2 linked regions of the Nothobranchius furzeri genome follow. The protein of the gene in region 1 purifies or fractionates together with the protein of each later gene. This does not show direct contact. Links are inferred from orthologs where the notes say so. Each region holds a gene or a part of one and is shown in the gene's direction. Other genes may lie near its edges. The genes, in order: ecd and eapp.

Region 1 (4,357 bases):
TGCAGGTCACGGAGGTGGTGATGAGGAACTGGATTATCGTTTGGTTCTTCAGGGAGAGGGTGGTGATCGAGGCGGCTATGAGACAACCCACGACTGCAACACATGAATGAATTAATGACATCGGTTATCAGACGTTAGAAGGAGAATTCAAACGGCCCAGACCGTAGAGTCAAAAAATAAGACACATCTCGAAAGCATAAGTCTGCATTTATATTCTTTAGCTGATGACCATGAACCAAAAATCAATTCAAAAAGGCTTTAAAGTTGTATGTATGTATGTATGTATGTATGCATTTATTTATTTTGTGTGTTACTACTAAGGATCTTTCTCACAGTTTTATAAAAAGGAGCCAATGATCCATTGAATTCCTTTGCATCAGTCATGGATCTAAGGTCAAGGTAGTGAACAGAATTAAGTTTCTAGGAATCAATACTACACACGCAGCCACGGTCCTTAAGCATTATAAATAAATAAAAAACAGCCCGGAAATGACTGTGCAGACATCTAACAGTGGTAATACAATGGGCAATCAAACCCAGCTAAAACACAATTAAATGTTACAATGGGTCATTATTATGGTAAATACTAATCTTCTGTAAGCCCAAGAAATTTTTCTGAAGAAAAACAACTGACATAGTAAACTATATAGATTGAATATTGTGTGACTCAAGCAGCTAAAAGTCAGATCAGCTCAGTAGTAACTCGCTGGAACACCACACACACACAAACAACATATGTAGATTTAAGCCGCAGGGGGCTGAAGCAACATTTGGTACTCACATCTCAAGTTTGTGCGATACAGGTTTTCTGTTGTATCGTGAAATCATTCTCCTTTCTCTCCGTTTTATGGGCTCAAGCCCTCGACTCCCATCCTTGCCTCTGCTTCTTGGACTCTATGTGAGAAGCAGACGAGCCTCACCATCCTCGATCGGTAGTCCGCAAGACAAAAGACACGCTCTTTTTATCTGTTGAGGGGAGGAGGCTACGCTAAAAAGAGCTGAGAGGCGTTGATGCGACCGTGACATGCAAACAGGGCACAGGTGGTGTTATAAAACTTCCGCAAATATGTTAACCATTAAGTTAGACTGTCTACACTAGGTACTAATCACGTTTGTCCGGAAGTTATGTAGCGATCAGGCTAATAGCTTAGCATTAATGTGTGTATACATGCTAGCATTAGCACCGACGAAAACAACAGCGCGGCTGTCATGGATACGCAGCCTCTTAACCGCGCGGGTTCGCGGGAAATGTATTTCTGAAGAACGTGTAACGCGTTCTTCACAAATCTGTTTTCCTACATTTCCCAGACATCTCTCCGGCGATGTGGTTACGTCTCTGAAATGTTTCCGTTCGTAATAATAAGAAATCATTCAGCGTATGATTTATCAGTTAATTTACTAAGTTAAAATTATTTATCAATAATAATTAAGTAATTAATATACGGTACAAAGGTTAATTTTTAAGTGAGATATTTTATAACGTACATACATTTGAAACCGGAACTTCATCGAAAGAAATGTGAGTGTCGACTACAAATTGTGGACGGACCTAAACAGTCACTGATGGCGTGCTAGCAACGTCAGAAAATACCAAATTTCTTCAGTTCTGGTTTGCAGAGATTTAAAATTAAAAGGACCTTTTACATGCACGACAAGGTACATTTAACTGACATATTTACGTCTTGGTGAGACTAGCTCTCCCCAGACATCTCCTTTATTCAGTAAATTAATCATTTTTTCTTTTCTTTTATCAGCTACAATGGATGCTCTGCAGAAAAGGATGATTCAAGAAGATACGGTTCAGTACAAACTATTCTTGGTCCAGTCAAATGGTTTATCTTCTCAGCAGACTGAAGAACGCCTAAAATGCTTGACAGAGGAGATTTTGGCTAAATTAGCTCCACTTTTGGTACAGTATATCTGGCAACATCAGCCATTCAGCCTCAGATTTCATTCAGAGAAAGGTAAGATTTAATCAGCTGCACTTAGATGATGACCTATCAGGGTGTGCTAAAACAAAGTGTATGGTAATCTATCTGACGGGTCAACTGGCTCATCAAAGTGTCATACATCTTTTAAAATGTATGATCTGATAGCGTATGCATGTCTGAAAAGCCTTGTGTTGTCAGATAGGCATACACTGTAATACGCACTTGCCAATCTGTCAATGTATGGTGATTAGACAGAACACCTGTTTATAACGCAATGTAACCATCAAATCTCACGTGTCCTGATAGGAAATATTCCTGCTCACATTGGAGGCAGCAGTCAGTTTGGAGACAACGTTGAGGACGAGTGGTTTATTGTTTACCTCTTGAAGCAGATCACAGAAGTTTTTCCAGAGCTTGCAGCCAGGTGAGACACTATAGGGTCTCAGTGTTACTGTTGCAACAGAAATGTGTTCTTGCTGCATACAACTCTATGCTGTTTGTGTGTGCAGGGTTGAGGACAACGATGGGGAGTTTATTCTGATCGAAGCTGCTGATTACCTTCCAAAGTGGTTGAACCCAGACACGAGTGAAAACAGGGTTAGCCCTTCTGATGAAATGGGACATAATATTGTGTGATTCGTTATAGCTGGATATTGGTTGAGAATTCATGTGAAAGACACTTTAAAATGCAAATTTTCCATTTGACTTTGGCTGCATTTCTTTACAGGTTTTTCTTTACAAGGGAGAGCTGCACATCCTTCCTTGCCCCTCCAAACTAAGTCCAGTGGGCTTCCCAGTTGATGTTGTTCCCAGTGTGGCAGAAGCCATAGAACTACTCTCCACTCATCCAGACTCCTGTCAGGCCAGCCCTAAGATATGCTCAGCTCTGAACAAGAGAATAAAAGGGTGAGAGGGTTTGAAAGAACACCACTGCTCTTTGGTATCTAATAGCTATTAGCCTCGTAAATGTTGTTGACACAATCTCTGCATTCCTTCTGTGCAGGAAACACATTATACCATAGCAACACGGGGAACATCAGCATGGCTCATACAAGCCCTGTAAAGTTTTAGAAAAAACATTATCTCTGTTTTTCATCTAGGTATCCAGAGAAGATCCAGAGTAACCTCCACCGGGCTCACTGCTTCATACCTGCAGGGGTAGCCACTGTTCTGGCGCAGCGTCCAGACCTGGTTGCTCCTGCGGTTTCAGCGTTTTATCTGCGGGATCCGGTGGATCTACAGGCCTGTCGAAGCTTCAAGACTTTTCCTCCTGATACGAGAATCCTCACTTTGGTGAGTGCACAAAAACACTCGTGAGTGCATAACTTTTTTGTGAAATGTTGCCTTTAATTGAAACCTGGAACTTGATATTTATTCTTTAGGTGACGTTCACCCGCTGCCTTTATGCACAGCTGCAGCAGCAAGATTTTATCCCAGATCGGAGGAGCGGATTTAGCCTGCCTCCTCGCTCTCATCCTCAGTACAAGGCTTATGAGTTGGGCATGAAACTGGTGAAGCATATTTTGTTTGTTTGTTCTTTTGCTGTTTTTGCAACAAAATATATGGATAACTTGTGTTTGGAGTCTTGTAGGATGTTTTTTAACTGTGCATCCTTCTCTCAGGCCCATGGCTTTGAGATCCTGTGCTCTAAATGCAGACTGCCGTCCTCGGAGCCAAACGCGCCAGTAAGCTGCAACCCCCAGTGGAAAGGCTTCTTGGAGAGCCTGAAAAAGAACGACTACTTCCAGGTGTGGTGCACTATTTTGTATTTAAATTAAAAGCAGACACTTGGAAGAGCAGCATGCTCAGCGATTCGCTACCATACAGTGATTCAGTGCCATTGCTGTCTAACGCAGGGAGAGCTGGAGGGTTCGGTACGTTTTAAAGAACGCTTAAGATCAGCAGAAATTTTCTTCAAGTACTCCGTTGTCTCAAAGTCAAGGTGAGAAGCTATCTTGTGTATGAAAATGTGTTAATCAAATGAAGTATGTTTTGCACAGGCATACTCTAGGCTGGCCACTCAAATGTGCAGTTTGATCTCAGCACACATGTGGCCCACCTGAGTTTTTAGCTCAGGTAGGTGGTGCCTGATAAAGTAACGTTCAAAACTGGGCTCTTTGTTTCCTAACAGAATGTTGCATCATGCAGTAGAGACCATAGCTACCTTTCATATGCCAGCGCAGCGGTGTGAACGTGCTTGATGTGTGTTTTCAGTCCTCTGTCCCCTGGGGAGGAAGTTGTTGAGGTGCTTCACAGCAGTCCTCCGTTCGACTTGGAGGAATTGAAAAAACAGCAGTCACAGCTTCCCCAAGAGGACAGTGAGTAGAAACGATAAACGATGGAAAGTCATTCTTAAGACGAGCAGATTTTTTTGCTTGAATGGGTTTAAGTTGCCCCTTGGTTAATTGGTGATGAAATTTCACATA
Region 2 (4,320 bases), on another chromosome or scaffold:
ATCAAATGGCCGTATTTGTTCCATTTTTTGAGACTGACATTTTTGCCAACGAATCAGAGAGCTCGATTGTCACAGTCTGTCTGAGCAATCCGCCATTGCTTCGTTCTGCAATCTGAGATGTGAGAAGTAACTATCTTTTATACTTTTTATTTGTAACCTAAAACTTTTTTAACAATTAAAACATTACAGCTTGTTTAGGGGGATTAAGTTGGTACAGGATTTAGTTTTTACCGTAATGCCGTGAAATGTTAACATTGTTTTTGCTGGTGTGCTGCTGCATTAGGCTGTTGTTAACTAATATATACATGCACTCTCTACTTTTGGATTTTTCTTTTTAAAGACTTTTGAGACTTCTTCTTTTGTTTCATATATACATACATACATACATACATACATATATATATATATATATATATATATATATATATATATATGTATATATATATGTATATATATATATATATATATATATATATATATGTATATATATATATATATATATATATATATATATATATATATATATATGTATATATATATAAATATATATAAATATATATATATATATATATATACATATATATATATATATATATATATATATATATATATATGTATATATATGTATGTATGTATGTATGTATGTATGTACATTTATATATTTATATATATATATATATAAATATATATATATGTATATATATATATATATACATACATTTATATATTTATATATATATATATGTATATGTATAAATATGTACATACACACATATATACATATATATGTATGTATATATGTATTTATATATGTATATATATATATATATATAAACGAAAAACACTTTAAATCTTTTAATGTTTTTATGATCTTGGACACAGATACATTTATTACATATGTTTTCGGAAGGTTGCAGGTTCGAGTCCCGCTCAGTCTGTCGCTGTCATTGTGTTCTTGGGCAAGACACTTAACCCACGTTGCCTGCTGGTGGTGGTGGGAGGGACTGGTGGCGCCAGTGCTCGGCAGCCTCGCCTCTGTCAGTGCGCCTCAGGGCAGCTGTGGCTACATCGTAGCTCTTCCCCACCAGTGTGTGAATGTGTGTGTGAATGACTGATTGTGTTGTAAAGCGCCTTGAGGGGTTCCATGACTCTAGAAGGCGCTATATCAAATACAGGCCATTTACCATTGATAACATCACAAATATATTTCAACACAGATGTAATTTTTCATAAATATTCTATAATTTTACATGTGTATTATCACAAATATATTTCACAGCTTAGTGGTTCTTCATCACAATTATAATTAAATTTAAAGTGGTAATTGTGAAAAATTATTTACGTAATAATTAGTGTTATTATGCAGATTTCGCATACATTTCTATTTTTGTATTCGCACTGAGCAGGAATCGAACCCACGCAGTTCGACTCCCGGACAAAACAGTTTAAAAAAAAACTGCCTCAACCCTCCAGTCCACTAGAGGGCGCTAGGGTAGTTTGGAGTTGGTTTTCCACCAAGTGGAAAGGTGACATAGAACTAGTCGTTTTCTGTCACTACGTAGAAGTAATTATGTTCCCATAGTTAAACTTTCAGCCGTCAGAATGAACATGCTGAATAAATCACAGGACTTTGACTCATATGAAGTCGAAGAGCCAAGTGACGAGGAGCGGGCAGCGAGCAGGTAGGGATCAAATAAACTACGGTTTCTAACATTAGCATCGTGGCTAGCATCTCCGGTGTTCTACATGAACTAGACATCAGCTCAAATGGTGTGTGGTGGATGCATCGGACATAGGTGGCTCATCAAAGCCTGATCAAAACTATGCGAATGTAAACAAACTGTTCATAAACGTAATTGATGTTGGTATAAACGCGAGTAAAGCATGTTGCCTTCTATCTTATGTGACATCTGTTTGTGAGCAATCGTTCTAAAATAAAAAAGAGGGTCAAAATGATCACAACTGAAACAGCGTTGAGGCGCGTTAAGGTGAGGTTGGTGTTTTAAATTAACTGGTGATTCGTCCCTTTACTGGTTCAAACAGCCTGTTTATTATGATCCATGGAAATGAACATGGATTTAAGCTGCTTGGTTTGAACCCACACGGGCTTTTAGAAACTCGTTTTCTTGGGTTAATTTACGACAAAACTAGAACGAGAGTTTTGTACATCTTGTTAAAAAAATAATAGAGCAGACTTGTACACTGTGGTCCAGATGAAACTCAACACAACTTTTATACAGTATTATTAAAACACTGTCGACGAGAAGAGATGCTAGTACATACTCAGTCCGCTAACAGATTCACTCTCTCAGAAGAACTCAAGACCTTATCCCACTGAATCCAAGACCCCAAGGCCACAATGCCCCGAGCATTATCTGGTTGTTCTGCTCTGGTGTTTCTGTTTTATGTGACCTGGACTCATAGAGTTACTTGGCTGAAATATTTTCCCGTTGCATGTGATGTCATACTACTCACTGGAACACCTCTTTCTTCGTGGTGGAAGTGAAGGGAACAGTTTGTCCAAAAGAAGCTAGTTTGTAGCCTTATATTGTGCTTAGTTTGTTGGTATTGCTGTAAGGTGGTTATCGCTACTAACAGACGAGCTTATAAACTCAACTTGTTTTTATTTTAAATAACTTTGATGGGAACGGAAGATGGAGACGGACAGCAGCTGTCAATCACTTGTGTAGTAATAGTTAAAATAAGGGATGCAGCACCAGTGCTGCTCATTTGTTTTGTCGGGTAGATTTTCAGTCATCTCTAGGGATGTAAGACAATATCGATATGGCAATATATTGTGATATTTTTTCCAGCAATATTACATCGATATTCAAAAGCCGTGTATCTAATTCTTGAAAGAATTTACATGCAAACATTTGTGTATTTTCTTTTCGTTTTGTGCAATTTAATCGCCGCCCGCTAGTTTGCAGCAGTGTGCAACAGGTTTTGTTTCCACCATTGAAATGTAAATCCCTCCATCATGGTTCAGATACCTCATGTTAAACATGTTACGTATCAGTTTGGACTGTTAAACATTCTTACAATAAATTCAGTAAAAAAAATTGCTTGTAACGTCTGACTGAATGTATCGCAATATATCTTGATATATCGTATCGTCTCCCCTGTATCGTGATATGTATCGTATCGCCAGAATTTCAAAAGTACACATCCCTGGTCATCTCAGACCAAACATTTGAGGTTTTTTATTTTCTTCTTGTGGTTGTGTTTCAGTTCAGAGGATGAGCTGGATGTGCTTCTGAACGGGACAGCAGAGCAGAAGAAGAAGCTGATCAGAGAGTATCTGACGGGGGAGAGCGAGTCGTCCAGTGAGGATGACTTTGAAAAGGAAATGGAGACGGAGCTCAGCTCCACCATCAGGAACATGGAGGGAACCTGGGCACCAGCAGCTAGTAGGACACCAACAAATGTTATTATAACTAGTTTAGTTGGACCAAGGAAATTGTGTCCTGTTTTGGACGTGGCAACTAATGATTGTGTGTGATTAAATAATCATTGTGGCCCTCCGCGACTGCTATGAAATCATTCCTGAGAGTTTAAGTGGTGGTGATGAAGTTTCTCTTTGTTCAGACAGCGGTGGTGAAGGAGCAGGTGCCGGTGGCGTAGGAGGTTCCAGTGTTCCCAATCCACCGATGTATGACGAAGTTTACTTTGATTCTGACTCAGAGGACGAGGACACACCAAGTACGACGTCACTTTACACGACTTCATCTTCACTTTGATTTTGGTTAATTTCACCTGTTTGTTACAGGCAGCTCTACCAGCTGGAAGCGGAGACAGCGTGTAGTTCCTACCAATGATGAGCTGTTGTATGACCCAGACGAGGATGACAGGGACCAGGCTTGGGTAGACGCCAGACGGTAGTTCTGTAAAACACTGCCACTAGTACTTTTTTTGTCTTCTTGTAGGCCGTTTACCCATTTCTGTTCCTGTTCAGGTATAACAGCAGAAAACAACCAAATGCAGCCTCCCGGTCCAAATCCGGCCAACCTCGGTGTTTACCCAACAGTGATGCTGTTCTCAACTGTCCCGCCTGCATGACGACGCTCTGCCTGGACTGTCAGAGGTCAGGCACAACTATCCTGCTGTGTGTTCTTGTTGATTGTGTCAGCTAGCATGAACCAAAAACAAAGTTGTATGGCAATATCACAACGGGTTGCACTAATGTTCCCTAGGGTGCACGACACATCACAGATGGGTCCATATCATTTACAGTGTCACGCATGTATCAGAGCACAAAGGGAACAATGGAGTTTCATCATTTTAGCTGCGTGTTAGCTGCCTCTGACTCATGCATCAGTG

The links.
Region 2: the proteins of ecd (region 1) and eapp purify together in Homo sapiens (affinity purification with mass spectrometry; 3 studies listed by BioGRID and IntAct, counting the BioPlex papers as one, with this or other methods). This does not show direct contact. The link is inferred for Nothobranchius furzeri from reciprocal best matches to the Homo sapiens genes ECD and EAPP.

Annotation. Positions count from the first base shown.
Region 1 is NC_091752.1:30,506,365-30,510,721, forward strand, and holds the start of ecd (protein ecdysoneless homolog), read left to right. Parts: upstream 1-1,507; 5' UTR 1,508-1,656; intron 1,657-1,754; 5' UTR 1,755-1,759; coding exon 1,760-1,964; intron 1,965-2,237; coding exon 2,238-2,355; intron 2,356-2,440; coding exon 2,441-2,528; intron 2,529-2,658; coding exon 2,659-2,837; intron 2,838-3,031; coding exon 3,032-3,224; intron 3,225-3,313; coding exon 3,314-3,442; intron 3,443-3,553; coding exon 3,554-3,679; intron 3,680-3,787; coding exon 3,788-3,873; intron 3,874-4,145; coding exon 4,146-4,249; intron 4,250-4,357. Other genes in the region: protein FAM149B1, read right to left, coding at 1-93, 782-828. UniProt on the Homo sapiens protein: Regulator of p53/TP53 stability and function. Inhibits MDM2-mediated degradation of p53/TP53 possibly by cooperating in part with TXNIP. May be involved transcriptional regulation. In vitro has intrinsic transactivation activity enhanced by EP300.
Region 2 is NC_091758.1:7,754,110-7,758,429, reverse strand, and holds the start of eapp (E2F-associated phosphoprotein), read left to right. Parts: upstream 1-1,494; 5' UTR 1,495-1,602; coding exon 1,603-1,682; intron 1,683-3,231; coding exon 3,232-3,410; intron 3,411-3,588; coding exon 3,589-3,702; intron 3,703-3,769; coding exon 3,770-3,878; intron 3,879-3,955; coding exon 3,956-4,084; intron 4,085-4,320. UniProt on the Homo sapiens protein: May play an important role in the fine-tuning of both major E2F1 activities, the regulation of the cell-cycle and the induction of apoptosis. Promotes S-phase entry, and inhibits p14(ARP) expression.